Linked DNA regions of Macaca fascicularis. The protein of the gene in region 2 interacts with the protein of the main gene of each other region in a pairwise test. Links are inferred from orthologs where the notes say so. Each region holds a gene or a part of one and is shown on either strand. Other genes may lie near its edges. The genes, in order: EVI5L, NUDT18, RAB3IL1, DUT, APIP, GLUL and HSD17B14.

What was found.
Region 1: the proteins of NUDT18 (region 2) and EVI5L interact in binary tests that used the Homo sapiens proteins (3 or more experiments, as listed by UniProt). The two-hybrid records come from large-scale screens. The link is inferred for Macaca fascicularis from reciprocal best matches to the Homo sapiens genes NUDT18 and EVI5L.
Region 3: the proteins of NUDT18 (region 2) and RAB3IL1 interact in binary tests that used the Homo sapiens proteins (3 or more experiments, as listed by UniProt). The two-hybrid records come from large-scale screens. The link is inferred for Macaca fascicularis from reciprocal best matches to the Homo sapiens genes NUDT18 and RAB3IL1.
Region 4: the proteins of NUDT18 (region 2) and DUT interact in binary tests that used the Homo sapiens proteins (3 or more experiments, as listed by UniProt). The two-hybrid records come from large-scale screens. The link is inferred for Macaca fascicularis from reciprocal best matches to the Homo sapiens genes NUDT18 and DUT.
Region 5: the proteins of NUDT18 (region 2) and APIP interact in binary tests that used the Homo sapiens proteins (3 or more experiments, as listed by UniProt). The two-hybrid records come from large-scale screens. The link is inferred for Macaca fascicularis from reciprocal best matches to the Homo sapiens genes NUDT18 and APIP.
Region 6: the proteins of NUDT18 (region 2) and GLUL interact in a two-hybrid assay, tested with the Homo sapiens proteins (2 studies listed by BioGRID and IntAct). The two-hybrid records come from large-scale screens. The link is inferred for Macaca fascicularis from reciprocal best matches to the Homo sapiens genes NUDT18 and GLUL.
Region 7: the proteins of NUDT18 (region 2) and HSD17B14 interact in binary tests that used the Homo sapiens proteins (3 or more experiments, as listed by UniProt). The two-hybrid records come from large-scale screens. The link is inferred for Macaca fascicularis from reciprocal best matches to the Homo sapiens genes NUDT18 and HSD17B14.

The regions. Positions count from the first base shown.
Region 1 is NC_088393.1:8,545,259-8,549,236, reverse strand, and holds the start of EVI5L (EVI5-like protein), read right to left. Parts: upstream 2,801-3,978; 5' UTR 2,616-2,800; intron 1-2,615. UniProt on the Homo sapiens protein: Functions as a GTPase-activating protein (GAP) with a broad specificity.
Region 2 is NC_088382.1:25,179,324-25,183,337, forward strand, and holds NUDT18 (8-oxo-dGDP phosphatase NUDT18), read right to left. Parts: upstream 2,801-4,014; 5' UTR 2,679-2,800; coding exon 2,517-2,678; intron 1,731-2,516; coding exon 1,517-1,730; intron 1,282-1,516; coding exon 686-1,281; 3' UTR 264-685; downstream 1-263. UniProt on the Homo sapiens protein: Mediates the hydrolysis of oxidized nucleoside diphosphate derivatives. Hydrolyzes 8-oxo-7,8-dihydroguanine (8-oxo-Gua)-containing deoxyribo- and ribonucleoside diphosphates to the monophosphates. Hydrolyzes 8-oxo-dGDP and 8-oxo-GDP with the same efficiencies.
Region 3 is NC_088388.1:12,063,295-12,067,414, reverse strand, and holds the start of RAB3IL1 (guanine nucleotide exchange factor for Rab-3A), read right to left. Parts: upstream 2,801-4,120; 5' UTR 2,709-2,800; coding exon 2,557-2,708; intron 1-2,556. UniProt on the Homo sapiens protein: Guanine nucleotide exchange factor (GEF) which may activate RAB3A, a GTPase that regulates synaptic vesicle exocytosis. Promotes the exchange of GDP to GTP, converting inactive GDP-bound Rab proteins into their active GTP-bound form.
Region 4 is NC_088381.1:24,836,657-24,840,842, reverse strand, and holds the start of DUT (deoxyuridine 5'-triphosphate nucleotidohydrolase, mitochondrial), read right to left. Parts: upstream 2,801-4,186; 5' UTR 2,714-2,800; coding exon 2,434-2,713; exon of another isoform or gene 2,364-2,433; intron 2,031-2,363; exon of another isoform or gene 1,999-2,030; coding exon of another isoform or gene 1,983-1,998; coding exon 1,844-1,982; intron 1-1,843. UniProt on the Homo sapiens protein: Catalyzes the cleavage of 2'-deoxyuridine 5'-triphosphate (dUTP) into 2'-deoxyuridine 5'-monophosphate (dUMP) and inorganic pyrophosphate and through its action efficiently prevents uracil misincorporation into DNA and at the same time provides dUMP, the substrate for de novo thymidylate biosynthesis.
Region 5 is NC_088388.1:30,656,806-30,661,041, reverse strand, and holds the start of APIP (methylthioribulose-1-phosphate dehydratase), read right to left. Parts: upstream 2,801-4,236; 5' UTR 2,702-2,800; coding exon of another isoform or gene 2,658-2,701; coding exon 2,645-2,657; intron 1-2,644. Other genes in the region: PDHX (pyruvate dehydrogenase protein X component, mitochondrial), read left to right, coding at 3,061-3,220. UniProt on the Homo sapiens protein: Catalyzes the dehydration of methylthioribulose-1-phosphate (MTRu-1-P) into 2,3-diketo-5-methylthiopentyl-1-phosphate (DK-MTP-1-P).
Region 6 is NC_088375.1:39,913,451-39,917,409, reverse strand, and holds the start of GLUL (glutamine synthetase), read left to right. Parts: upstream 1-1,159; 5' UTR 1,160-1,271; exon of another isoform or gene 1,272-2,443; intron 2,444-3,959. UniProt on the Homo sapiens protein: Glutamine synthetase that catalyzes the ATP-dependent conversion of glutamate and ammonia to glutamine.
Region 7 is NC_088393.1:56,819,704-56,823,954, reverse strand, and holds the start of HSD17B14 (L-fucose dehydrogenase), read left to right. Parts: upstream 1-1,451; 5' UTR 1,452-1,574; coding exon 1,575-1,662; intron 1,663-2,145; coding exon 2,146-2,184; intron 2,185-3,121; coding exon 3,122-3,204; intron 3,205-4,251. Other genes in the region: PLEKHA4 (pleckstrin homology domain-containing family A member 4), read left to right, coding at 99-211, 606-868. UniProt on the Homo sapiens protein: Catalyzes the NAD(+)-dependent oxidation of L-fucose, yielding L-fucono-1,5-lactone, which rapidly converts spontaneously to L-fucone-1,4-lactone. Can also act on D-arabinose and L-galactose, with lower catalytic efficiency. Does not use NADPH.

The DNA.
Region 1 (3,978 bases), on a different chromosome or scaffold from region 2:
AATTCCCCCCTGGGGAGGCTGTATAGAGTTTAGTTTCCTGTGCGTGAGAGATACCACGTGACCTTCAAGAGTCTTTTCCTCCACGCCTTCCTTCAACAAGCGGACAGAACAAACGTCTTCCTACCCGGCGTCAGAGGTCTACGTGGGGCCTCAGCATGGCTATCCGACAGCCCCTCATGCCCACCCCGTTCCCCGTGGTCCTCCTGGGAAGACCCTGTGTATAACCACAAATCCCGCAACAGACCGTCTCTCGTCTTCATTCTACCAGCTCTGATTCGAGCTGGCTCCCTGCAATACAGTTCAGCCTTAGGAAGATGGCCACTATCCAGCGAGGTGTCAACGAAGACCCCAGCAGGGACCTGGGTGGCCAGTGATTCACAGGAGCCCACAGGACTCCCCTCTGAGACCTTATTGTCCCCTTCCACATAGCACTCAGGGAACACACAGGGCCACACCCTAGCCTCCCTGCAGTTCCAAGTTCTGTTCTAAAAATTGAGCCGCTCTCCCGGCACCCCAGTTTCCGGATGGGGAAGTTGAGGCACTGAGCCGCATGAGCTCTTTCTCGGGGTGGTCCATAATCCGCTAGTGAATATCCACAAGGAAGCTTGGGCTTTTTATCTAAGGGTTTCCAAGCACGGTTATATTGTCAGAAGGACCCCAGACGCACGGTGCCCAGGCTGCGTGAGGCTGGACTGGCCCGGCTCCTCCTCGCCCCCTGCAGTCCTGGCCACGGTGTCGCGCCAGCGTCTCCTCTCCTGTCTCGTCTCATCCCTGTGCCGGGGCCAAGCCACCTGCGATCCCTTCCAAACCACCTGCCGCTGACCACAGAAACCCAGGGGAACCTACAGGTTGGACCCTGAGGCCAGAGATGGGAGTGGGGAGGGCAGTGGGACGGAGGGGAAGAGCCACATAAGATAGAAAGACACAGGGACACGGGTCCTCTAGCTCAATCACAGCCCGGCTGAGGGGGAATAAAACGAAGCAGACAACTCATTCGTGTTCCACCCCAGCCTCTTCAGCACACTTTTCCCTTCTGAAAAGCTTCCTTAACAAAGAGCTGCCTGCTTCTGGCAGGCCCCAACCCGGGTCTCAAATACTGGGATAGAAAGAAGCCGTTCTGTTTTGGCCAAACACAGTGGTTGTGGGTGAGAGAACTCACTCGGGCTGTCAGGGGCCAGCTCTGAGGAGCAACCTGGACTGCACTGCTGGCTCTGCCATTTGAGGCCAGGAGGCGTGATGGGGTCAGGAGACTGGGGGCAGACTTCAGGACCAAAGCCAGGAGCTGTTGGAATCCCTTCCTTCCCGCCAGGGGGTGGCATAAATCAGGGGGCGGGCAGTGGTTCCTGTGGGACACTAGTGTAGGAGAGAAAGTGAGCGCCCTTCCTTTTGAAAGGGCACAGCAGGGAAGGATGGATAACTTGGCAGAGGCCTGGGACAGGTTCCCACAGGGGCAGGTGCTGGGGGATTCTGGGGCCGTCACCCTCCAGGGCCCCAGTATGGGCGCTGGCTTGGTTGGTGGGGGGGCAGATTGGCTTCCCAGGGTGCGGCAGGCACCTCTTGGTCTCTGGAGTCTCTGCTTGAGCTGGGGGAGCTGTCGGGGGCTCTGGGAGGGCCTGGACAGGTGGGATCTGAGGGGGAGTGCAGAAGTGTTGAGTGGGTGGGGACAGGGGCAGACAGGCCGGGGGTCTGTCTTGGAGCTCTTAAGTTTTTCTGTGTGTGCTGGGGGATCTAAGTGACCCACTGTGTGCGTGTGTGTGTGAGTGCGCGCGTGTGTGTATTTGGGGTTTTCAGAAAGATGGGTGGCTCTGGATGGGGAGTGGGGTGGTTCAGAATATCCATCGGGAGGTCTTGAGCACGGGCGGATTTTTCAGGAAGCCAGGATCCAGATGGGGCAGGATCAGTGGAGCTACCAGAGTGTGCTGGGTGGACGCCCGGGAGTGATTTAGGGGTGCCCTTGGGCATGGGGCAGCTGGGGTGGGAGATGGGCTTGCAGGCTGAGCTGAGGGCTGTGGGCAGGGGTAGGAAATCCGATTTACAGAAGCCAGAGAGGGGTCCTGTGGGGTCAGTATGGGAGGCGGGTAGGGCCCTGAGGCTGGTCTCCCTGGGAAGAGGTGGGGGCAGTTCTGGGCCCAAGATAGGAGGACGTGAAGTGAGGGGGTGCGGGGAGGGGGTGGCAAGTGTTGTCCAGAAGGGAGGGGTCCTGAGAGATCAGGGCAGAAGGTGGACTGGGGTTCTTGGGCTTGGGGGGGCTTGTGCGGGGCTGATCGGCGGAGTGGGGGGATGGGGAGCCCTGAGGGGGTTCCCGGAAAGGAGTCCTGAGGGTCACTGCAAAGGGTGGACGGGGGTCCTGGGCCTGCGGGGTCCTCACGGGGAGGGGACGGAGTGGGGGAGGGGGATCACGCAGGAGCTCCCGGGGAGGGGTCCGGAGGGATCGGCAACGAGGGTGGGCAGGGTCCAGGGTCCCCCAAGGGTCCCGGGCTGGGGATGCCGAGGCTCCCAGCGCGGGTTTCGGGGCACGACGGCCCAAGTCGCGGTCCTGCCGGTTCCCCGGGGGCCGCATCGCGGAGCCGCCGGTCTGAGCAGGCGCCGGGGAGGCCCGGCCCGCGCCGCCCTACCTGCGCCGAGCGCGCCGCCATCGCCGTGCCGAGCCTCGCCGCCCCGGGCTGCGCCGCCGGATCCCAGCCGCGCCGTTCGCCCCGCAGCCCCGGCCCGGCCCCCTCAGCCGCCCCCCGGGACCGCGGCCGCCGCCGGCTCCGCCGCTGCCATTTCACCCGCTGACAGGAGCCGCTGCCCCGCCCCCGAGGCCCCATCCGCCAATTCGCCGCCCCTAGGCGCTCTGGCTCCGCCCACCAGCCAGGAGTGACGGGGCGTCTGACCAATCTGTGACCACTCCGTGAGGCGGGCCCTGGCTACGTTCAGAAGGTTGCCGCCTCTGAGGAGAGAGCGAATTGAAATGAGGGAAGCGATGAAGGACAGGGAGCTTTACGTATCGGAATGAGAAATCCTGTTGATCAACACCTGATGAGACCAATAGCAAGGAAAGAGGGGTGTGTCTCTGAGGAAAGGCTGCGGCCCTCAGGAACATCAGGCAGACGCGGCCAAGCGTTTGGCGCTAAGCCCCGCCCAGAGCCGGGGTTTCTGCCCAATAACGAGACGTCCCAAGACGTCCATTATTATCTGGCCCCCAAACCTGGGCCCTGGCAACTGTTGGGGGCGCTATAAAGATTGACACCTAGGGAACCAATATTACTGAAGGAGGGCGGGAAAGTGACACTCTCTGACCAATGGGTATGTGAGATTGGTGGGCGTCCTGGGCGGTGGGACTTGAGGCCTGGGTTGAATGAAATGGGGGTGGGGCTAAGAGAAGGGCGTGGCCTAGGCCAGAGATGGGGCGGGGTCACGCAAGGGAGGGGCTCGGGGGTTGGGTCTGAGAAGGGGCGTGGCCAGAAATCCTGACTACTAAGAGGGACGTGAAGGCACCGTATCCTCAAGGAGCCCAGTTCTGTGCTGGGGAGGGGGTGGTTGGGATTGGGGGGTCCCATAAAAGATTCAGGCCCGCCCCCTGTCTTACTCTAGGCTAGGTTAAGTGTCTTCTCTGAAGCTCACAGCGCCGCGTGTTCCTCCATCAAAGCTCGGATAGCGCAGTGATCATGGGGAGGGATAGGCCCTCCCATCCCCCATCCTCCCAGACTGATAGATCCTCGGGCAGTCGGGATGCGGGGCCTAGGTCGGGTATCTTCCGGGTCCCCAGCGTAGGAACTCCTTATAAACGTTTGATGAATGAATAAATGAATGGGCTCGTGATTCTTTTAACAGAGAAGGGAGGGGTGGAGAATCCCTCAAGCTAGAGAGGAATACGTAGGGACAGTTACTGACAGCGGGAAAGACTGAGCAAAATGGACTTATTTCCTCCCCAAAATGCAGGGATGGGCCCTGGAGGGGGTGGGGCAGGGAAGGACCTTGTCACAGCAGAGAGGG
Region 2 (4,014 bases):
TCCTCTGGGGCCACCCGCTGCCCAACCCTTGGAGGACTCAGAGCTGTGTTTCATTAGGGATGGGTCCCCTCCGAGTCACATCCCGGGCCAGCAGGCCAGCTGGAAGGAGCCCCGGGGGCCATGCTGGACAGCAGACTGGCCCACACTGTCAGTGCACTGGGAAAGGCATGGGCAGCTGTGGGTAACACGATGGGAACAGCAGCTCTTGGACAGCAGTCCCCAACACTTGCTCCCCACAGAAACGTTTAGGCAGGGAGGCAAGGTAAGTAACACCTCTTTACTCAGCAAGGGGCTCCTCCCTCAGGACACCTTCCCCAGTGCCCCTCCAGGCTCCAAGAGCCTGGAAGGATCAGGATGCAGGCCTTTCCCAAGGAGGGCACAGAGCATGAGGAGGAGATGCCACTGGTGGTACAGAAAGCTCCCCATCCCCCTGGGGAGAGGTGTCAGTGTGCCCTCAGGGTTGTGAGGTCCTGAGCTTTGGACTCCTTGCTTGGTTAAAGGCACTGTCCCTTGTGCAATGTAGAGGAATGCTCCTCAAAGCATCTCTCCCGGGAACCAGGAGAGCCGCCCCTGCTCCCAATGCAACAAGATCCCTGATCGCCAGCTTCTTGCCTCCCTCAGAGAGAGACATGTCTGCACTGGAGGGAGCATGGCTGCCTAGCTCCTTGTCACCTCCTCCACCTCCCTATCTGTTCACTGGGACAACAGAGGATCCCTGAAGCCGCTTGAGGAGCTGGCTTTGCAGGTCTTCCTCAGTCACCTTCCACCAAAAGAAGTTCTCACCCCGAATCTTTGGGGGTTCATCCTGGATCCCTGGGCTCCGAAAAGCCACAGTCACCAGCACATTCAGACAGATACCATCACTGTGATCTCGGCCCAGGTGCTGCAGTCCAAGCAACCCCTTGATCTCCACCACCAAGTGGTGCAGGGTCAGACACTCCTGCAGCAGCCGCAGGATGGCCATCTTCATGCCACCCCTCTGCTCCACAGGGTCGAGGCCACAGGCAGTGACAGGCAAGTGAGGCATCCCCACTGTGCCCACCAGCACCCACACTGTCTGGGTGCTGGTAAAGGTGACCACAAGCCGCTGGCAGACCAGATCACAGGGTAGCTCTTGCGGCAGAATGAGAGGGTGCCTGGCTTGCTGGCGATACTGGGCAGCTAGCTCAACCAGGTGCAGGATGTCATGGGCTCGCAGCGGAGTGGGCAGGGAGCTCCGTGGGTACCAGGCAGCCTGCAGGGACTCTGCATCGGCCTCCTTGGAAGTCTTGAGAATTCCACCTGGGGGAAATGTGGGGGATGGGGCAGGGACAGGCTGTGTGGAGAGGAGTGCAGGTGTGGCAGTCACCAGACATCCCTGACCCAGAAGAGAGGCCCCCAGCCCAAAGGCTGGAATCTGCCCATGCCAGGCTGTGCCAGTCATAACAGGACTGGCTGTGGAGGGGCTCACTTCACCGAGGAGCTGGGGGAAAGGTGTCAACTGGCCCTGTTCACACTGCCTCCAGGTGGGCCATACCTGTGGGGTGAGCGAGGAACACGAAGCGGACCCAGGAGGGGCCCCGCTCCTCCACGGACAGCAGTGTCTCGGGCTCACAGTGCAGCCCCGCCTCCTCCTTCACCTCCCGCTGCAGCGCCTCCACGATGGTCTCCCCCGGCTCCATTCTCCCCGCAGGCAGGTACCACGACCCCCGGCACTCCCTCTTGGCCTCCTGGATCAGTAGCACCTCATCCTGAGGGGACAGAGGATCCTCACTTCCTGCCACAGCCTTCCCTCCCCGGGGACCAGGGGACACCTCAAACACAGTCGCCCGAGACTCCCCTCTGGGTGGACACCCTCAATCCGGCTAGCGCTCCAGTAGACCTGCCCTCGTGTAGCTGGGGGCTGCAGCCCTCTCCTCCCTGCAATTCGTCCCTCTCTGGATTTAGGAAGACTTCCATTTCAGGAAGGGCTGAGATTCGTGGAAGCTGCTTCAGGGGCTGGAGATGAGGCCCCAGAGTGAGGGTCACCATGTGTCTTGCACTGATTTGCGTCTGTACATGTCACTGTGTATCTCTCGCCTCCAACGGCGTGGTTTACAAACTGTGATGGGTCCTCACACTGGGATCTGGCTTTGAAACACGACCCCCCACCTCCACTCTGTACAACCCTGCCCTATGGCCCTGGCCCCTTCTAGTTGTCATTACATCGCCTACTACAGGGATCAGCACCAAAGGCCTAAGGGTAAACACGGATTGAGCCACTGCTACCCGGGGGACCCTGGGCATTCCGCTAGACTCTGGGGAAGGGAAGGAATGAGCCCTAGTGGGATGAGACAAACAGGTCCCGGGCCTCAGTTTCCTCTAATGCATATCGGGACGAACGCAGGACACAGATGCGAGTGGGAGTGGGAGTGCTTTGCAAAACTGGGGAGCGCCACGCACGCGGCAGCGCTGGCTGTGGCCGTTGGGTCTTCTGTCCCCACCTGGGCTGGCTGCGCGCTCCCGAGGCCCGGCGGGCCCGGCGGGCGGCCGCTCACCTGCTCGCTGAGGAACACGGCCAGCACCACGTAGCACACGTTCTTCCGCAGCCGCACGGGCACCGGCGGCTCCCCGGCCGGCGCCGAGTCGCAGCTCTGCACGCTCGGCCCCTGGCCCGCCAGCACGGCAGCCAGCGCTCCCGTCAGGCCCTCCGAGGCCATCGGGTCCCCCGGGGGGCGGCGGCCTGAGTACTCGCAGACTGGCTGAGCCGAGCCGCGGGCGAGCGTGGGCTCCTGCGCCCTCTCCCAGTCCCTGCGGCAGCAGGCCGGTCCCGCACGAGAACGCGGAAGCGCACGCGAACGCGGAAGCGCACGCGAGCCCTGGCCGCTGATAGGCTGCGCGGCGCCGCAGCCTGCCCGGATTGGCCGGCCCGCGGCAGTCTCCGAAGGGGCGGGGCCACCCGGGGCCGCCGGGCAACTGGGTGGGCGCCGGGCCAGCTCTGGAGGACCCCGCCCGGGTTCTGCCGCCTGTCAGTCCCGCGCGCTCAGGACGTCTCCCAGCCGCCCCCGACTCGCCTACTCCCCGAGCGCGCACTGGTCTGCGGGAGCTCCGACCGTGACGTCATCCTTCCTGCAGGGCGCGTTGCGCCGCAGGGGTAGGCGACTATGACGCGACAAGCCCGGTGACGTTACGGAGGCCCGGGGCCGCCCCTTGGACCCACTGCCCCGCTGTTGCCGTGAACACACGATGGCATTGCCGGAGTTGATCATCTCCCAAGTAACTTTCTTCTCACTCCATTCAAGAGTAATAAATGTCACGTGGCCTGTGGGGAGGGGGACATAAACCCCTGCCTTTAAGGAGATTCTGTTGTAGTTGGAGAGAGAGACGGAGTCCTAGATGAGGAGTCAGCTGAGGGTTCGAGACTAAGTGCTAAATGCTTGGTTTGGGCAGGAAGAGTGACAGGCGCTGGGAGGATGGAAGGGAAGGGCTGGGGATGGCGGGAAGAGTCGGGGGCTGAGAGAGGGCTGCCGTCAGCCGGCCCGTCCTCATCAGTGTCCCTCTGCCCACCGCATTTCCCACGCAGCTCAAGGCCCTCTCCGCTGCAGATGGTGCGCCCGGGGAGGGCGGGGGTGGGGCCCTGCTCCTCCATCCTTGTCGTCACCCTCCCACCTAGCGTGCAGGACCTGGCGCGTGGAGAGCAGGGTGGGGGTTGTTGTGGCGAGAGCCTGCTCCTCTCCCAGCTCTGCCTTTCCTCCTTCACCCGCCCCTCAGAACTGGAAGGCAAGGCCAGCTGGAAGGGATCTGCGAAGCAGGCCGTCTGGCTTCTCACCCGGCAGAGGCCACCCCTTTCTTCTCCCTCGGCTGGTTTTGTGTGCCTCCCTGCTTGATGGTGTGGACAAAGCTCAGGACCTGGAGCCAGATGGCCAGCCGCTGCTGGCTGGCTTGCTCTGTGCTCCTGGGTGAGCTGTGAGCCTCAATTTTCTTATTTGTAGAGTAGGGTCATAACAATTATTGTTTTACAGGGGTGTTGGGAAGGCACGACAATCGGAGAGGAGC
Region 3 (4,120 bases), on a different chromosome or scaffold from region 2:
CACTTTGGGCCACCCCTGCTCAAGAACCTACAATGGCTCCCGGGCTCTCAGCTCTTGGATTCTCACACAGATTGTCACTTAAGGCCAGCAGACACCCTCCCCCATCCTCACCGGCACTCCTTCCCTAGTCTATCTGCTTAGTGCCTGTCCCTGTGCAATATCCTGCCTGCTGGGAAGGGGAGGGGACAAACCCGAAACAAGTTTTCTGAGTCCTACTCTCTGAGTTTTACCCCGAAGGAGTTTCCACTTCTGGTCCAACTCTCCTCACCCAGCCTCCTGCCTCTTAACACACTGTGCCCATCCCTGCCTTTACCCACCATCTGCCCTCTGGATAGTATTCCCCACCCCACCCCCACCAACACACACACATACGCACACCTGTCTGGTTCCTCATCCTCCGTGAAACCTTTCCCTGAATCCCAGACCACTGGTCTACCTGTCCCTCAGTTCCTCTGTCCCACCCATTCTGAGTCCTGATCATTGTTCTCAACTTCAGCCTGGGACTGGACCAGTAAGAGCAGAACCCCTCTTCTCTCCCACCAGGAACCATGGCTCCCACCTTCCCTGTCTGGGGGAGGACTGGGAGCTTGGGGGGAGGTACTTGCCCTTCTAGGTGCTACCAGAGGTCCTAGTGCTGAACCCCTCCAGGCCCACTGACTCAGGCCCCAGGCTCAAGCTAGTCAGATCTTCATTTGAGGACACATTTTATTCATTCATTCAACTCATTCATACATTCAGCCACTCCATCTGAGCATAGTCTATGGGCCATGCAAGGGCTGGTGACCCAGAAGGAAACTGTGCAGACATAGGCTCTGCCCTCCTGGGGCTCCATGATGGAGGATGGAGGATGAGGGAGGTATTCTCTAAGACCTCCATGTCCAGAGTACAAATAGACAACAGTGCTCTTTCCCCACTGGGCATAGTGCACAACAAGGTAGGGAATCTGGAGAGTGGAGGCGAGGCTGGATTCTATGCCTTGCTTGCTCCCTTGGCCAGCATTTTGTGCAGTGAACAACCTTGGCAGTTCTCCCTAGCATCCCTTCCAACTTTCTAGAATCATTCAGCCCAGGCGTCCCATAGCCATCACGCAGCAGGGCAGTTGTTTCCATGGCCATGGCTTCCAGAGGGCAGGGATTCTCTCTTTCTTGGAGCTGTGTTCCCTCACCCCGCCCCCAGCCCAGCTCAGGGTCTGGCCCACCCAAAGCAGATGTCCACATGTGTTTGCTGGCTTGAATCCCTCATCAGTAGGTCTTGAGCAACTGTTGTCTTCCTGGCCCTTGTTTTGTTCACTATTTAGAGAAGGAGGAGAAAATGACACAAAAGGAACCCAGCACAGGGCCCTTGCCCTCAAGTCTTCACAAGCACCGGGAGGAGGTAAGTCATGGCAACCCAGACCAGTGGGAGATAAAGTGGGTGGAGGAGGCGTCAGCTCAGGGCTATGTCCCTGGAGGAAGAGTCCTCAGCCTGGGACAGCTGGTGGACTGGGGAGGCCCTTGAGCGAGGTCTCGAAGGACAAGTGTGTGGTCACCACTCAGAAAGCATCGACACTCAATTTCTAACCAAAAATAGCCTGTCATCCATGCTTCCTGCTACCATGGACTCCTAGGCCTCACTGCCTCCCCCAGTAGGGAGGACCCTACTGCTCAGCTGAACTTGCTCCTCAGCCAAAAAGGATGGGCTCAGAGAAGTTAAGGAACTTGCCAGATATCACACAGCCAGGGGCAGTGGGGCTGAGTCCTCTTACACCAGTTTTCCAAAAAGACCATCCAGAAACTAGAAGCTCACTGGCAGCTGCAGCTGTGTGCAGCCAGGCAGCAAGAGGTTCCCGAGCACAGGCTATAGGTTCCTGGCCAGTGGCAGGGAAGGGAGAAATAAAAGTTGTGTCTGGGCCAGGCGCGGTGGCTCACGTCTGTAATCCCAGCACTTTGGGAGGCCAGGACAGGCGGATCACCTGAGGTCGGGAGTTTGAGACCAGCCTAACCAACATGAAGAAACCCTGTCTCTATTAAAAAATACAAAATTAGCTGGGCGTGGTGGTGCATGCCTGTAATCCCAGCTGCTCAGGAGGCTGAGGCAGGAGAATCGCTTGAACCCGGGAGGCAGAGGTTGCTGTAAGCCGAGATCGCACCATTGCACTCCAGCCTGGGCAACAAGAGCGAAACTCCATCTCAAAAAAAAAAAAAGTTGTGTCCTCTGCCCACAAGCCACTGCCCTCCTGACCCTCCCTCCCTCTATCCCCCTCTGCCTGCTACATCCCAAGCCTGACAGCCTTGACCACAGACCCTTGGCTGAAGGCAGCTGAGGAGTAGGAGACAGTCAGCCTGGATGACCCAGGCCCTGATTCTGGACTTACAAGTCTGACCTCAGCTCACTGTGTGACCCAGGACGAGTGTCTTGCCCTATCTGAGCTTCAGTCTCCACCTCTCTACAGCCACCAAATTGGACAAGACAGTCAGAGCCATTCCCTAGGACTCTCTGAGCCCAGCTTCTCACACCGGCTGCCCTGAAGCTCGCCAAGATTCCCCCTCCCCTCCATGCCGCAGGTCCTGAGCTCACCTTTCTGTGCCCCAGGGCTCTTCTCTCAAGCTCCCCTCAAGTGCAGGGCACAGGCCTAATGGGGCGTAGCGGACAGTCCCTGCACTCATGGCCAGGAACACGGGGCATGTCCCTCGGGCGGGGCACCTGGCGTGCTCCTCAGAAGAGTCCATGCTTGGAAGGCCAGACTGAGGGTCCCTCTGGAGGGTGCTGGGAAGGGAGGTAGCAGGAGCCTTCTTCCCCCCACTAGGCTGGGCCTCACACTAACCTTTGCTATCTCCTCAGAGCAGCAGCCTGGGAGGGAGGCACCACCTCCCAGGACAGCCGCTATCTCCTTCAACCCCGTAATTATTAACTCCTGTGGCTCCTCAGGCAGCAGAAGACACTGGGCCCTCCTTCCTGGGCTCTGGGCCAGGGGAGATGAGACACCTCAAGAGGAGGCCCCGTGTTTCAGCCAGGCTCCCAGATGGTCTACTTGTCCCCTCGCCACACAGGCTGGGGCGTTGGAAACTGCCTGTCCAGCCTTGACCCTGTCATAGCTGTCGTAAGCTGGCTGTGGAGCCCTGACAGGCCCTCCCGACTGTGACCACAAGCCTGAATATCCACTTAAAACTTTGTTATTGGCCGGGCACGGAGACTCACGCCTGTAATCCCAGCACTTTGGGAGGCCGAGGCGGGCAGATCACCTGAAGTCAGCAGTTCAAGACCAGCCTGACCAACATGGTGAAACCCCGTCTCTACTAAAAATACAAAATTAGCCAGGCATGGTGGCGCATGCCTGTCATCCCAGCTACTCGGGAGCCTGAGGCAGGAGAATTGCTTGAACCTGGGAGGCGGAGGTTGCGGTGAGCCGAGATTGTGCTATTGCATTCCAGCCTAGGCAACAAGAGCGAAACTCCATCTCAAAAAACAAAACAAACAAACAAACAAAAAACTGTTATTATTATTATTTTTTAATTCTTTTTCTTAAATTTGAGATTCCTAGTTTTGTCTTTTTTTTTTTTTTTTTTTTAATTTTTCAAGGCAGGGTCTCACTCTGTCACCCAGGCTGGAAGGCAGCCTCAAACTCCCCGGCTCAAGCCATCCTCCCACCTCAGCCTCCTGAGCAGCTGGGACTCCAGGCATGTGTCACCATGCTTGGCTAATTTTTAATTTTTTTTTTTTGTTTGGAGAGACGGGGTCTCGCTACCCTTAAAACTTTTCACCACCACCACCCAGGAACAACTCAGTGGTAGCAGCTGGGAGCACAGGCCCAGGGTCAGACAGGCTGGATTCAACCCCACTTTCAGACGGTGTGCCTTTGAGCACGTTAGCCTCGTTGTGCCTCAGTTTCTCCAACTATGAAATGGATTCTCACCCTCCAAAGCACACCAGGCCAGTTGCCACTGCCCAGATGTGCCCATTCCTCTTCTTTCCACATACTATCCCACCTGTCTGCAATCTCCACTGCATCCTGCCTCTGCTGGTAAGTTTCTCTTTTGTTCATACCCCCTCCTCTAGGAAGCCCTCCCCTGTGGGTTACTTTTTTCCTCTGCAGACACTAGAGCCCTCAGACACATGGTTAGCCCTGCACATGACAAACACC
Region 4 (4,186 bases), on a different chromosome or scaffold from region 2:
TTATGAAGAAGGTAGAGGTAGTTATTTTATTATTAAAATGACAGCTTTAGATAAAATAATTCTCCGTGAATATTTTTGGTGGTGTGAAGAGATGTCAACATTGTAAATCTTTGCCCCTGAACAAAAGTTTATTGGGAAACTGAGGTACTTATTAGCATGAAAGGGCAGAAAGGCAAACTTTCAAAAGGTGGATGCTTTACTACCATAGTTTGAAAAGGAAAAAAATGAAGAACAAAGAAAAAAGGCCAAATATTACTAATAATACTAGCTATCACTGATTAAGCCTTTACTATGTGCCAGGCACAGTTCTAACTGGTTTACATATATTAACTCATTTTATTCTCACAATCATTTATGTGATTAGGGAATATCTGCAGAAGGAAAGGAGAAAATGGGTGGACAAAATAAGAGGGATAAAGAACTGTGTTGTATCTGTCAGGCGGGGCTTGGTGGTTTGCCAAGCTTAGGTGATGAATTTCCTGGCTGAGGGAGAGAGGTGATCACTGTGAACAGTCCCTGGAGATGGACCTTGTTTAGGAACAGAATTCCTCTAAGATCCACGTAGCAAATGCTGCTACTCTTGCTATTACTGTGGCCCTCTGCTGGGTGGAAATTTAAGAGATTTTACAATGAGCAGAACCAGAAGTTTACTTTGGAGAACTGCATTAAGTCTGGTAAAGCAGTACTATACTTCCCCTTTTTTCGCTGAAATCCCTCTTTAAATAGTTATGGCCTAATTTATTACAGATACATTATTTCCATGTCTATTTCAGTATACAGAAAGTCACCTGAATTTATTATGAGGCTACTTAAGGTATCTTAAATCAAGGACTCCCCTAGGACTCAAAAAAGTGCTCCAAAATATACTTCGGAAAGGTCTAGTCAAACTACATCACTCTTTTATTCATTAAAATTAAGAGACCGTAGTTTTTCCAGCTGCAATTGTCCATACCTACTTTCCTTTTCCTTTCTTTTCTGTTGCTATCATCATGCACTACTTTCTCTTCTCCTGTGCTTAGACCAATAGTTCTCATGTTTGAATTACCTGAGAAACTTTAAAATAAATCCCAATGCTTGGGATTTAGTATAAACTCTCCTTCCCTCTCAGCATTACTTTTCTCCTACCTTAATGGCTCTAAGAACTGGGCACAGTAGTCAAAAGAAAAAAAAAAAAGCCCAAAATTCGGGATAAAAAATGGTATCATCTTCAAGTCTCTGGGGAAATCAATTCAGCTCTTCACAAACTCCCGCCTGCGTAAAAAGTAACACTTATCTAGTCAAGGATTGTTGTGAGGACTAAATACAACAGCATAAGGAAAGTTTTTAGTACAGGTAAAACGTGCTGTAGAGATGAAGTGTGGTAGTATTACAGGCAGCTCTGCCTTTCGTATTCGGATGCCTTCTGAAATTCCGCCCTGGGGCCAGATGAATGTATAGAAAATAACTTTTTAAGGCAGATGCATCTCTGTTCATCCTTCTTAGGTGTTTTCACGCTCACATCTAGGCTCTCACCTTGGCTTTTCCATTGAGCACAGCATCACCCTCAGGCCACTCGAAAGCCACCATGTGCCTTCCTCTCTATCTTCTATTTAGGAAGGGCACAATAAACGTTGCAAAGTAACGCCTTGCTAGACGCCGTATAGTTATTTTACTTATTCTGCAGTCTTTGCCCAAATCTCTATTTAATTTATGCCAAAGATGAAAGCTAAAATTTTCAGTATGAAAAAGGCAGAAATCCTATTTATAGCTAGTGTGTTCCTGTGATCTCTTCGATGACTGTTTCTAGCTGTGGCAGCGGATGGCCGGCCCTTCCCAGCCTCCTCGCCGGGAGGTCCCCGCTCACCTGTACAGGTCGTAGCCCGCGGCCCGCGCGGAGCCCCGGGTGGGGGCCGTGGCGTGATCGGAGAGCCGGGCAAAGCGGAGCTGCATGCCGCCCTCCTCTGCAGGCCGGGGCCGCTTACTGGGTGAAATGGCGGGTGTCTCTTCAGAGCAGGGCATAGCAAAGCCAGAGGGCGAGCGAGGAGAACACCCGAGGAACAAGAGAGCGCACGATGAGTTGCCCCGCACGGCACCCGCCAAAACCGAAATTTCCCGCCAGCTCCGCCCCACCCACCGCCCCCTCCGGGACGAGTCCACACTTCTGGCCGAGAGGGGAGGCGGGATTCACATTTTGGGTTAGAAGCCCTTCTCGGAAAGCAGGTTTGGGATCGGAAACTACTGGGTCCCAGTCATCCATCCACATTCAGCGCATAGGGCCGACGACAGCTTTTGGGGCGTCGCCCTCACACACTAGAAAGCCGCCCCCCCCGCCGGGGACCCTAATGGACTCCCCCCGCGCGCACAGGGGCCGCCCGCCGGCCTACTTCCCCCGCCGCCTCAAGCCGCGGGGCTTTCTTCCGGACGGCCGGGGCCCTTTGCCCGCCGCTCTCCTACCCTGCCCGGGCGCCGGGCATCCCCCCGGCTTAGGAAGCTCGCCCTTCCAGCCCGCGGCCCCGGCTGTACTGGCTCCGCGACAGCCTCGGCTCAGACTGCCAGCGCTGGACAGCGGCCAGGGCGTCCCGTGCTGCGCTGCGCGGCCGAGGGGCGGGCCTGGCCCGGAGAGTCCCGCGGCCTCGGCCCTCTGCCGTGCGCCTCGCGCGTTTTGCATCGCTGAGCGAAGCAGAGACGGAAGGAAATGGTAGCAGAGCGCGGGGCGAGGGCAGAGGAGAGTCATTTCCCCCAGAGTTTGGGCTGGTTGGCTTCTCGGCACCTCCGGACGTGCGCCAGGCTTCCACCCTGAAGACGCGCGCGTCCCGGGAACATGACCTCGGAAGCAGTCGCCGCCGTGCGAGGGGCGTGGAGAGGCGGCGCAGGCCCTAGGGCACCAGGAAGACGGTGCCCTTGGCGTCCTGAGTCTTGCTGCCGCCTCCGGGTGCCTACGCCTCTTGCCCTCGCTCTTCTTGTTTGCTCGGGCCCCCATTTTTCCGCGAGTTCACCAGGCCCGGGCCCTGCTCCTGGGCTGACTTACCTGCGGCGTCACCGCCAGCGGCCATGACTCCCGGGCTCTGAGTTCAGCGGCGCCCTAAGCGCCGGAACCGCATGTGGGTGCCGGTGACAGTTACTGCACCCGGTGCCGCTCCCCAGACTGGGCAAGACACCGCGCCCGATTTCCTTTCAGCACCGAGTGCCAGACGTTGTAGTTTATTCGACCGGAGGCAGGGAGGGCGGTAGTATTCTATCAGGTTTGGGATAACCCAACAGAAACGCAGCGGGAACGCCTTGGCTAGGAGTCGAACAAGGATCCCGGGCCGCAGTGGTATAGTTTACAGTGGGGGATAAAGCAGTCACTTTCTAGATAGTTGTTTTTCTTTTTCTGAGCTGCAAGTATCTCGTTATTTCTCACACATCTGAGAGCTGAATTGAATGGTTTTGAATTTTCAAAGTTAAGCTGTGGGACAGTTTTAGATAAATGACAAGTAGAAGTGTTATTAGAGTATTATTGGGGAAGTTTTACATTCATTGCTGTGCCTTTTCATACAGGCCCCACCTTTTCGGTCTCCTTAACTGGGTCCTCTTCGTTGTTGAAAGTACTTTGCATGAGGCTATGGAATATACACTACCTTCTCTGGACGTTAAATATTAGCTACACCTTGAGGACTCCCAGATTTATGCCTATAGCAACACGATCCGAGCCCTGCAACTTTTCGACCTCATTTTGAGCCAACATTATTTTACTCCCTTATTTTGCTGGAGTACTTTCTCCAGTTATTAAAGTGTTCACATGAGAGACATATTTGATTCCTTGCTCACAAATGACTGCCTTATTGGACTAAAGGCTCAAAGGGATCAGAATACTTAAGCCACAAACTCACAACTATAGTTCTGCCTAATACACTGAATACCCAATCTCTCTTAACAAGCATAATCACCATGAAAAGCATACTCTGAATTACGCCAGTGGCGTAGAAGCACCAGGAGACAAAAGTTCTGTAATTACAGTCCAGAGAAAGGCTTGTTATTTCATTTTAAAGCATCTTTGAGTTTTATGAAGTGAAGAAATAAAAACAGGCCGGACGTGGTGGCTCATGCCTGTAATCCCAGTATTTTGGGAGGCTGAGACTGGCAGATCACTTGAGGTTAGGAGTTTGAGACCAGCCTGGCCAACATGGTAAAACCCCGTCTCTACTAAAACTACAAAAATTACCCA
Region 5 (4,236 bases), on a different chromosome or scaffold from region 2:
GGAGTGAAGCTGCAGACCTTCACAGTGAGTGTTACAGCTCATAAAGGTAGTGCGGACCCAAAGAGTGAGGAGCAGCAATACTTATTGTGAAAAGCGAAAGAACAAAGCTTCCATGGCATGGAAGGTGACCCTAACCAGTTGCAGCAAGGCGAGCTTTTATTCCCTTATTTGGCCCCACCCACATCCTGCTGATTGGTCCATTTTACAGAGAGCTGATTGGTGCGTTTACAAACCTTTAGCTAGACGCAGAGTGCTGATTGTTGCATTTACAATCCTTTAGCTAGACAGAAAAGTTCTCCAAGTCCCCAGTCAACCCAGAAACCCAGCTGGCTTCACCTCTCAGTAGCTTTTCTCTTTAGCTTCATCTCTTCTCAAGTCTCTGGCCCCTACTTTATGTTCCAGAACACCAAACTTAATATGGGAACACACCATGTCCATAATCAGGGACAATCCTGAGATTGTGTACATGCTACTTCCCCTACGTGGAATATCTTTACTTTCATTGCATGTGGTTATGTCTTCCTGATCCTTTAGGCCTCAGTAGATACTTTCACTTTTTCCTGAGGTATTCTCTAACCCAGTCAAGTGTATACTCCTAAACTACCTTGAACTTTCCCATCTAAGTCATATTGTCATATGTCATACTATGTCATATTGTCATACCATCCTTGTCTCTTTGCTAATTTGTCTCTGCCACTATACAGCATGTTCTAGGGGAGAAGGAACCAGATGCAGCTTGCACTCTTAAATCCACAATGCCTGGCACATAGTAGGCACTCACTAAATATTTGTTGAACTAATCACTTACAGTTGAATGTTCCCCTTCCTTAAGGCCAAAGAGACTGTCTCTTTCAATTGCCCATGACCCGCTAAAACTACAATGAAATTTTATGACTTCTTAAAACTTTTCTTATTGCTGTTTTTATGTATTTGTACAAAACCAGACAGACACAAATATCTAGAGGGGCTCATGTATTTAACTGGATATTCAAATCCAGTGTGAGCAGTGGAAGCTGTGGTAACCTGGCCAGCACCCTCGGTAAAGGCGGTGTTCACTAGCAACCACAATCCAGATCCCAGGAAAAAATAAGGGCCCGATGTCACCATATGTTCTGAGGTTTTAAAAGAAGCTGAAATGCTTCTGGATTTTGAAATGTTGACTTGGCCGGGCATGGTGGCTTACACTTGTAATCCCAGCACTTTGGGCAGCTAAGGTGGGTGGATCACCTGAGGTAAGGAGTTGGACACCAGCCCGGCCAACATGGTGCAACCCCATCTCTACTAAAAATACAAAAATTAACTGGGCGTGGTGACATGCGCCTGTAATCCCAGCTACTTGGGAGGCTGAGGCAGAAGAATCGCTTGAACCCAGGAGGCAGAAGTTGCAGTGAGCCGAGATCATGCCATTGCACTCCAGCCTGGGCAACAAGAGCAAAACTCCGTGTCGAAAAAAAAGAAACGTTAGCTCAAATTTTTCATGAACATTGAGTTAGGCAAATGAAACATGCCTGTCCATCAAGCTGTCTGTGGGCCATGTTTGGTATGAGAATCCTAGTTTATTCTGGGGTCCCTTAAGGCTCTCTTTGATGCTCACATTACACTAAGATTTACTGATTGAGGGCATGAACACTTCTCCATACACACCTGCCTAGGAACGATCTCCAATTATCTGTCCTATCTCCAAGATCTTCTCTCTCCCATCCAACCTTGCCTATCCACCATTCTATTTTCAGAGTAGTCTTCGCTAATTTGGGGAAGTCACTTATTCAAACAAGACAGCGGTTGACAAATACTTAGCAATGAAATCTCCTGCTAGTTACTACTTTTTAATTAGGATTTTCAACCCTAAGAAAGATATACATGGGAGGAATAAGATAGGGGGAATAAGGGAGCTAATTTTGAGGGGTTTCCCTGCCTCTTAGGTGGGGTTTATCATATTGTGCTGAAACTGCTTATTCGTCTAGTTCTCCAGACCCTGGGCCATTTGTCTTATGTACCGCCATCTCTGAGCGCGGAGAAGGTGCTCCATAAAACTGTTGGTTTGTGTAAATGACCGAAAACTACATGCAGAGTGAGGGTGGATTTCCCTTTGACTTCGGCTTAAGGAAGAATCGTTCCCATGATCATCCCACAATTCATCTAAAGGGAGATAGGCAAGGAGCAACTGTTCAAAGGCAAAGCGCTGGCAGCCGAGGCACAGCTCCGGTTCGGCAAATGTCTCCCGAGTGCCAAAAGTCTCCCCAAACGCCTAACTGGTCAGGGCGCAGAAAAGAAGCTCGGGGAGCGCGGTCTTCGCCCCAGCTCCACTTCGGAGCTTCACGATTCCTTCTCTGGCCTGTCTTCCTGATAAATACCCGCTGAGGTCACCCAAACGCTATTCTCTCTGCGTTATTTGCTTCTTTCCAATGTTTGGCGCCCAGCTCCCGTCGTCGGAGCGCCCCGCCCGGGACCACTGATCGCCTGGGGCCGCAGCCTTGCTTCCCAACGCGAAGGCCGCGGTGCTCCAGGGTCGCAAACTGCCCGGCCCGAAGCCCCGCCCCGCAGCCAAACGCCCGGCCCGCGACCCCGCGCCCAGCTCCCGCCGCCAGGTTCCGTCTGGGCCTCTACTCCTGGGAATAACCGGTACCGGTGACCCCGCCCCTACCTGCGCGCCGCATCTCCGGGAACAACAGTCTCCCTCCCGAGCGTCACAGCCAGACATGGCCTAGACCAGGGACCCACGCGGCCTCCAATCTCCGCACCACTTTACTCGCGGCGCTCAGCCTAGGTTGAGGCAGCAAGGCCGCAAATGCAATCAGGCGGCGCTGAGGGCAGCCCGGGGGCGGGGCGAACAGGGTGGGCGGGGTCTGGTAAGGCCCCTCCGGCTGGGCTATCCAGCAGCGCACCTGACTGCCCGGGAGGCGTGGCCAACGTGGTTGGAGGCGGGACTAGGAGGGCTTCAAGTCTGAGAGACCTAAAGGCACCTCGATCGTCTGGGGGTGTGGCCAACCATGTGGGAGGCGGGGCCTTGATGCTGGACATCAGGCTGTGCTGCGGGCAGCCGGTGAGAAGGCCGTGAAGATGGCGGCCTCCTGGAGGCTAGGCTGTGATCCGCGGCTACTGCGTTATCTTGTGGGCTTCCCTGGCTGCCGAAGCATAGGACTGGTGAAGGGGGCTCTTGGGTGGTCTGTAAGCCGCGGAGCTAATTGGAGATGGTTTCACAGCACGCAGTGGCTTCGGGGTGAGTGGCCGGGGCTCGCTCAGCTTCTCTGTGTAGCTGAGTGATGGGCCTGGGACAGGGGCAGTCTTGATTGAGGACCTGCGTCTGGGTGTTGAGGTGCGCGGCCTCCCTATTCCTTTCCCTCTTTCTCTGGGTGGGGTCCGCCGACTCGGCCTAATGCATGCTGTGGAGGGCTTTCTTGGCAGCTGGGAGAATTAGACCCTACCCTAGGCCTCCTGGTTTGTATGACTTTGTGACTTTGCCTTGGAATTTGGGTTATTTGTGAGGCGCGGAGAGGGTTCCTAAACTCTCCTCCCTCAGCCCCCTTTCCAGTCAAGGCTCAGGTTTCTTTAGGGTTGTCAAACGTCTCGGACGAGAAAAAGCTGCCCAAGGTTGCCGAGATTGAAAAGCCACTGTTGGGAGTTCTTACTCATTCTCTAGGCCTCTCTGTTGGGAGGTGTTTTCATTGAGGCCAGTCGAGTTTTACCCCACGCCATGACTCGTGGAAGACTTAAATTTGTAAATTCCTACGGCATCACAGACAAAGGTCCAGGAGAATGTTTCAAGCAAATATTCGCTTGAAAGAGCGAACATTTAGGAGATAAATCATACCAAAAAGTTTATTATAGAAAATTGTCGTTTAGTAATGATATTGATACGGTTAACACAATTCTTGCAGTATTTAACAGTATGCAAAATGGCAGGCTGGGTATTATTTTTCCTTATTTGGGGAGAGGGTTGGAGGGAAGCAGGGATGGAGAATAGGACTGACGTTTTTTAATCTGACGTATTGCCTGCCAGTCATCGTTCCTGGCACTCTACAGAATGAATTTTAATTTAAATAGGTCTAATAGACATTGCCTTCGTATTCTGAGCTACCTGAGGCCCAGGAAAAAAAAAAATCACACAAAGCCATATAGTAAGATGAGTGTATTGGGGTTCCTAAAGATTCCGTAATGGGAACAATTTATTTCAGTTTTTTTGGTGTAATGTTTCATAACATATTCCTTGGAGCAGAGGTGCTTTAACAGTGTGTG
Region 6 (3,959 bases), on a different chromosome or scaffold from region 2:
CTACCTATGTTGTGTCTCTAGGTACACATATAATTATTGTGCATCTGCTGACAAACATCCATTTCAAGATTGTGTTCACATACACATTTTCCCAACCATCACGGCAAGCTGAGAGGAGAGGTATGTATTCCCATTTTCCAGATTAACAAGAAGCCGCACTTGATAAAGCAAAACCAGGGAGAATTCGTTTAAGACATTTCTTGACAATTCCTGGACTTCGAAAGGGGCAAGTGAACACCTCGATTTCCTTTCGGCTGCTCAGGGGGCAGTCTGCACACAGAATTTCAAATCTAGTGGGCGGCTCCACAGATCGTTTTCGATGACCACTTTATTTTGCAGATGAGGAAACTTGGGCCCTGAGAGACCTGCCTAGGGTCTGGCCAGCGGTATGACACAGGTCTCCAGACTTAGTTTCTACCGCTCTCCAGAATCCTCTGTGAAATTAGAGACACAGCACGTTGATTTCAAATGTGAAATGGCAGAGTTCTGTTTATTTCCCCAGAGCCAACAGAGCCGGAGCGGGCGGCTCTTCCAGGCTTTGGGAACCCGGACCCGTCCCCAGGCCCAAGCGGCACCCACGCTAGCCCAGGCCCGCCCAAGGTTCCCCCGGGTCCCGCGGCCCGCGCTCCCTCTCAAGCTAACCCCTGCCCGCGGGAAGCGGGGTTCGGAGGCTCCCTCGCAACAAAAGGCTAAATTCGGTTTCCCTGGTTCCGCATTTCCCCAGGGAGCTCTCCTCGTAAAACTATTGCCCGTAAAGACTGCAGGGCAGAGGTCCAGGGCGCTTTGCTGGGAGCCTCGGGGCCCCGGGCTGGGGGCCGTCGGGCGGCACCTGGCGGGCCAGCGAGCGGGCGGGCGGGCGGCGAGCGAAGGCTTCCCGGCCTGGCAGCAGCTCGCCCCTCCGCCCTCCGCCCTCCGCCCTCCCGGCTCCGCTCCCCTCCCCCACGCCGCCCTGCCCCTCCCCCACGCCCCTTTCTCTTTCTTTCTTTCCCAGCTCGCTTGCCCCCACCCCAGCGGCGCCCGCCGGGCTCCTCGCCCAATGGCCGCGGGGCCGGGGAATGCATCAGCTGATCGGCCCGGGCTCCCGGCCGCTGGGAGCCAATCAGGGCACCGGGGGCGGCCCCCGGCCGCGGATAAAGGGTGCGGGGCCGCGACCGGCCTTGCAGAGTCGAGAGTGGGAGAAGAGCGAAACGTGTGAGCAGCACTACGGCCTCCTCTCCTCCTAACCTCGCTCTCGCGGCCTGCCTTTACCCGCCCGCTTGCTCGGCGCCCAGGTAAGCCCCCGGACGGCCCGGTGGCACCCAAGCGACACGCACCGCCCCTGCTACCCCGCGAGGCGCGCCACCCAGCCTCTTTTTTCGGCCGCCTGCCCCTCCAGTCCCAGCCCTACGCTGCGGCCTCTCTGGCCCGGGCCTGAGGTCCGGCTCCAGTCCTCCTCCCGCGTGCTTCCGCCGCCGATGGCTTGGACCCTCCGGGGCTGGCGCTGGTGGGGCGCGTCGTTGGCCAGGCTCTGGGAAGGGCGGGGTGAGTTGTTTTGATCTTCTTTTCACTACTTGCGGCCCAAGCGCCGCCCCTGGAGGCCTTTGGGCTGGCCCGCGCCCTGGGGCTCACAGTGGTATTTGCGCTGTGGATGGAGTGGCGGTGCGGTCCCCTGCAGACCGCAAACAAGGCGCTTGGTTGGCGCGGGCGCCTCGCTGCTTTCCTCGTGGTGGGGCAGTCGTCGTGGTTCTGGCGATCGTTGAGACGCCTCGATTGCGGCGTGTAACAGTGAGCGTTGTTTGCGCGGCCGGCTCCCGCCTCGGGGTCCCGGGGGCCTTCCAGTGTGACCGAACAATGGAGAGCCCGGGCCTCGGCGCAGTCGGTGGAGAAGCTGGGCCGGGCGGAGGCAGCAGCAGCGCGCGGTCCCTCCGGCCTGCGCCCCCACCCTCCCCGGGGACCCCGCAACCCCTCGGCTGTGGGGTATGGCCACCTCCGTGAGGCCCTGAGATTCAGACGGGGGCCCGAGGGGCGGGGCGCCCGCTTTAGGGACATTTCAGTGGGAAGGGTCTGCTCTCAAAGTGGATAATTACAACTCCCTCGGGGGCGGGAAGCGGGGATCCTCCCCCAGCCGCAAGTTCACGAAGAAAGCAACCAATGAAAATTATGAAGACGACGAGAAGTCAGACTCCTCCGGGTCGCCCTCCAACTGTTTCGGCTTCGTCGCCTACTCCGTGAACTCCGGGGAGAAATCTCGAGTCAAGATTAAGACCTTAACCCACCAACCGGCCTGTTTCGACACCCCCCGGGCCGACCGCTGTGTGTCCCCTTCGACATCGCCCTCGCCCAGAAAGCTCCGGTGCTTGGACCAGCTCGAGTCTGAGAAAGAGGAGAGGCGCGAACGCCACTCCAAAAAGAGAAGGGCTAAGGAGGGCAACCCTAACAATACGCTTGACTTTCTGTGGCTGGGGTGAGTGAGGGGGCAGGGAGGACGACCCCGGAGTTGGTGAGAGCTGCAGAAACGGCTAAAAGCTTCAGAATCCATTCCCCCCACATAAACTTGGCGCCACGGCAGCAGCAGTTGATAGAGTGCTGGCATCCAACTGGCTCACGGAAAAGAGCAGGAGATCCGAAACAGGCTTAGGACAAAGTGTGCATGATATTGGTGGTGTAACAGGTTGGAGAGGACAGCTGAGAAATTGGGTTGTAGCTTTTTTTTCTTTTTTTTTCCCCCACCGACAGAGTCTCGATCTGTCGCCCAGGCTGGAGTGCAGTGGTGCAAGCTCCCGGCTTACTGCAACCTCTACCTCTAGGGTTCAGGCGATTCTCCTGTGTCAGCTTCCCGAGTAGCTGGGATTACAGGCGGGCACCACCAGGCCCGGCTAATTTTTGTATTTTTAAGAGAGACTGGGTTTCACCATGTTGGCCAGACTGGTCTCGAACTCCTTACCTCAGGTGATCCGCCCGCCTAGGTGGGTTGTAGTTTTTAGCGGGAGCTGAAGGGTTCTGGGACGGAGGTGGGAAGTAGGATTTGGCCGACTGAATCTTCTAGAGGCAATATTGGGGTGTTGGTCTTCCCCAAGGGGAAGGGTGGTGAGGCTGTCAGAGGGAGAAGCAGTTATGTTTTCAGCTGGGCAAACATGGACGGTTGCCCATAGAAACTTTGCCACTGTACTTCAGAACGTTGCCCTAGTCGTTGGAGGAGAACAATGTGTTCCCTTTCTAGCCATCCTGGGCCACGGAGGGAGGAACGTTTCCTCTTCGGCTGTTGTGGCTTCAGAATTTCTGTTCTTTCAGAGGTTTTGTGGTAGTGGTTGGCAGTTATTAGTATGCCTCATGGCTTTTAAAATTCCAGATCTTTTTGATTTCGAAGTGGAAATTTCCTAATTACTTGAAGTCTTCTTGTGGAATTCCATAATGTTGTGATTCTTGCTCACTATCTTAAGTGAAACTTTGCATGAGACCTATGGAAAGTATGGCAGCATGCCCCTTAGAATCTGGTTTGAATCAGCTTTTGTTGTAGGAAACTGCTAGCCTTTAAAAAAAAAAAATATTGTAACCTTGTTTCATCCTCAAATCTAAATGTGTAGTGGGTTTTCTTTTGGTGGGGAGTGGCTGTGGGTTTCAGTTAAGACCACAGCTAGGATGAAAGGCAAAGAGAAAAACAGAAACCTTGGAAGCCAAGCCTGTTCTGTGGCTGGATTTTACTTGTATTGGAAGAAGTTCTATGTTTTGTAAATTTGTGTATTGGTTTGGTTTGTTTCCTCTGATAGATTAGTATTTGGATAGTTTAGTGTTACCTCAGCTACACTGAAGGAATAGACAGTCCTCACAAGTGTAAGTTCCAACTTGGAAGCCTGGGATCTGCAGTAGCTGTGGAACTTAAGCCTTTGAGCTCCGAGATGCAAGAGGCATTGAGTTACTACCAAGGGCCTGATCTTTTCTTTAGCAGGCATCTGTGTTAATTGCTTCAAAAGGTGGTGATC
Region 7 (4,251 bases), on a different chromosome or scaffold from region 2:
AGTAGGTCTTATTCATCCTTTTCTTTTTGTACCAATTAACCCTCCCCACCTCTCCCCCATGTACACACCCCACCCCCAATCTTCTTTTTTTTTTCTAGTCCAAGGAACACCACCCCTTACTTGCCGACTTCCGAAGGTCACCGGGAGCGGGTTCTCAGCCTCTCCCAAGCCCTGGCTACTGAGGCGTCGCAGTGGCACAGAATGATGACAGGTGACTGGCTGGGGATGTTGAACTTCTGGGTTTTAGGGAGGAGAAAGCTGGAGACCTGGAATCCCAGGTCCTGGAGAGGAGGGGTCTAGGGGCCGGTGGGAATTTTTTATGTTGGCGAGGAAAGAGTTGGGCAGAGTTTGGGAGTTTTAGGTCTCAGGCAAGAGTGGACTGGGTTCCGGGACACTTGGGAGGAGGGGAGGAAGAGGTCAGGGGGCGGGGAGAGGACCGACATCTGAGTCTGAAAGAGGTCTGGACTGGGGTGTCCAGACTCCTGGGTCTGAGGGAGGAGGGGCTGGGGGCCTGGACTCTTGGGTCTGAGGGAGGAGGGGCCTGGGAACCCGGAGTCCTGCTGCTGAAGTTTGCCATTCTTATGTCTCCCACTCATCCTCTCTAGGTGGAAATTTGGACTCCCGGGGAGACCCTCTTCCCCGTGTGCCGCTGCCTCCTTCGGACCCCACGCGCCAGGAGACCCCTCCCCCAAGATCTTCCCCGGTGGCTAATTCGGGTTCCACAGGGTTCTCTCGCCGAGGGAGTGGGCGTGGAGGAAGTCCCGCCCCCTGGGGGCCCACGTGGGATGCCGGGATCGCCCCTCCGGTCCTGCCCCAAGACGAGGGGGCGTGGCCTCTGCGAGTCACTCTGCTACAGTCCAGCTTCTAACCCGCCCAAACGTGGCAGCCAATCGGAGCGTGAGCACGTGGTCTGGAGGTACCGCCGGAGATCTGGGACCACTCAGGGCATCAGGGGCGTGGTCTGGTCCCCATCGCCCGTCCGGGAGGGAAATGGTTTCTATGGCCAAAGTTTGATTTTCTCAACACTGTCTAAATTTGGATTAAAACTTTGAACTTTTAGTCAATAGCTTTGTTTCTGTCTGTTTGGGGTTGTTGCACTGGGGTCTCTGAGGGGCAGAGCCGGAGTCGTGCACTCCTGGGTCCTGAGAGAGGAAGGGACAGGGTGCTTGGACTTACAGGTCTCTGGGAGGAAGGGATAGAGAATCTGATCCCTCAGTCTGAGAGTGGAGGGGCCTGGGTCAGGATTCCCGGGTCTGAGGGAGGAGGGGTTGGGACCCTGACTCCTGGGTCTGAGGGAGGAGGGGCTGGGAGGCTGGACTCCTGGGTCTGAGGGAGGAGGGACTGGGGCTCCTGGATTCCTGTGTCTGTGGGAGGAGAGGAGTGTCTGAGGGAGGAGGGGCTGGGGACAAACTTCCAGGTCCCTAGCCTTCCTGGCAACGCCCCCCGAGGCTGGACTTCCACGATCCAGCTTCTATTGAGGATTTGATGCGACGGCCTCACGTGGCTTTGGAGGTGAAAAAGGCCCAGAGTAGAGACACAGAGAGAGAGAGAGAGAGAGAGACCGGTGGACACGGATGGCTACGGGAACGCGCTATGCCGGGAAGGTGGTGGTTGTGACCGGGGGCGGGCGCGGCATCGGAGCTGGGATCGTGCGCGCCTTCGGTGAGCCGGGTCTGACTGCTGGGAGCTGTGGAGCGTGAGAGAGGAAGGATGGGGGCGGGGCGATGGGGGCGGAAAATAGGGTCTCCAATACTGCAGCCGGGATTCTGATCTTATAAAAGCCAATTTGCAGGCTAAAGTAAGCGTGTGGCGCGGTAGGCTAGGGCTGTCTGGCAGGGTCTCCGAAGGCAGTGGCCCCTTTCTCTGGGTCTGTTGGTATAGCTGCAAAACCAGTGGTTTGGGGAATGGCCCTGTCAGTTGTGGAGTTTGCTCTGGAACCCACGAACGGGGGATCAGGAGCCTCAGCAGAAACCTGGGCAGGCAAGGAGAGTATGTGTCAAGGCCTCTGCCCTCTGTCCTGTGGGTGATCATGAGACTGGGGTCACGAGGGGAGACGGAGATCGGCCCCAATCCAGGTGGCCACAAGAGGGCGGCAGAGGCTTTAACCAAGACTCGGAGGGTAACGTGTTGCCTTCCTATTCTCAGTGGACAGCGGGGCCCAAGTGGTTATCTGCGACAAGGATGGTGAGTGAGGGTCCCTCAGCCCTCAGCCCTCACCCTGGTCCTTCCTCCCTCAGTCCAGGGGTCCAGGAGCCCCAGCCCCTCCTCCCTCAGTCCAGGGGTCCAGGAGTCCCAGCCCCTCCTCCCTCAGACTCAGGAGTCCAGACCCCCAGCCCTCCTCCCTCAGACCCAGGAGTCCAGACCCCCAGCCCCTCCTCCCTCAGACCCAGGAGTCCAGACCCCCAGCCCCTCCTCCCTCAGACCTAGGAGTCCAGGAGCCCCAGCCCCTCCTCCCTCAGACCCAGGAGTCCAGACCCCTGTCCCTCCCCCCTCAGACCCAGGAGTCCAGATCCCCAGCCCCTCCTCCCTCAGACCCAGGAGTCCAGGACACCAGGCCCTCCTCCCTCAGACCCAGGAGTCCAGACCCCCGGCCCCTCCTCCCTCAGACCCAGGAGTCCAGACCCCTGTCCCTCCTCCCTCAGACCCAGGAGTCCAGACCCCCGGCCCCTCCTCCCTCAGACCCAGGAGTCCAGACCCCTCCTCCTCCCTCAGACCCAGGAGTCCAGGCCCCCAGCCCCTCCTCCCTCAGACCTAGCAGTCCAGGCCCCCAGCACCTCCTCCCTCAGACCCAGGAGTCCAGGCCCCAGCACCTCCTCCCTTGGACCTAGGAATCCAGGGCCCCAGCCCCTCCTACCTTGGACCCAGGAGTCCAGATCCCTGTCCCTCCTCCCTCAGACCCAGGAGTCCAGGCCCCCAGCCCCTCCTCCCTCAGACCCAGGAGTCCAGGCCCCCAGCCCCTGCTCTCTCAGACCCAGGAGTCCAGGCCCCCAGCCCCTGCTCTCTCAGACCCAGGAGTCCAGGCCCCCAGCCCCTCCTCCCTCAGACCCAGGAATCTGCAGGCCCCCAGACCCTCCTCCCTCAGGCCCAGGGCTCCAGGCTCCCAGCTCTTTTCTGCCTGCAGAGTCTGGGGGCCGGGCCCTGGAGCAGGAGCTCCCTGGAACTGTCTTTATCCTCTGTGATGTGACTCAGGAAGATGATATGAAGGTGAGCCGAGTTCCCATTCCTACCCCCATCTCCGCTAATGACCAGTTCTTTGTTCTCCTCCAGCCATTTGCATGTGCCTTTCCCTCTACTTTTCCTTCCTCTCCTGGCTCCACTGGACCCGTCAAAGGTTTCCAACCAGTGTCACTCCACACACAAGATCTTCTGTGACTGACGAGCAGGTCACATGTTCCTTCTCTCCCACCTCTCCAAGGCTCTTAGCACATCTGACACGTGGGTGGAAAGGAATAAGTCCCTCAAAGTGGGTCAACTGTAACTGATTTTTCTGTCTCTTTTTTGGAGGTGTCACTGTCACTGAGGCTGGAGTGCAGTGGCGTGATGTTGGTTCACTGCAACCTCTGCCTCCCAGGTTCAAGCCACTCTCCTACCTCAGCCTCCTGAGTAGCTGGGATTACAGGCGTGTGCCACCATGCCCAGCTAATTTTTTTTTTTTTTTTTTTTTTTTGAGACGGAGTTTTGCTCTTGTTGCCCAGGCTGGAGTGCAATGATGCGATCTCGGCTCACCGCAACCTCCGCCTCCCGGGTTCAAGTGTTTCTCCTCTCTCAGCCTCCTGAGTAGCTGGGATTACAGGCATGCTCCACCACACCTGGCTAATTTTGTATTTTTAGTTGAGATGGTGTTTTTCTGTGTTGGTCAGGGTGGTGTTGAACTCCCGACCTCAGGTGATCCGCCTGCCTTGGCCTCCCAAAGTGCTGGGATTACAAGCATGAGCCACCGCACCCGGCTAATTTTTGTATTTTTAGTAGAAACGGGGTTTCACTATGTTGGCCAGGCTGGTCTCGAACTCCTGACCTCGCGTGATCCACCCACCTCAGCCTCCCAAAATGTTGGGATTACAGGTGTGAGTCACTGCACGTGGCCTGTAACTGATTTTTTTCTCCATTATTTCTGGGTTCCTCTTTCTTCCTTTTAATCAGTATCTCTCTGTTATCTGCCCCCCTTTAGTAACTGTCCCCTATACTCTCTCTGAATCCTTGTCACCCCCATGCCCCACCCCCTAACCCTGGGTGCAGTGTGGCTCTGACCAG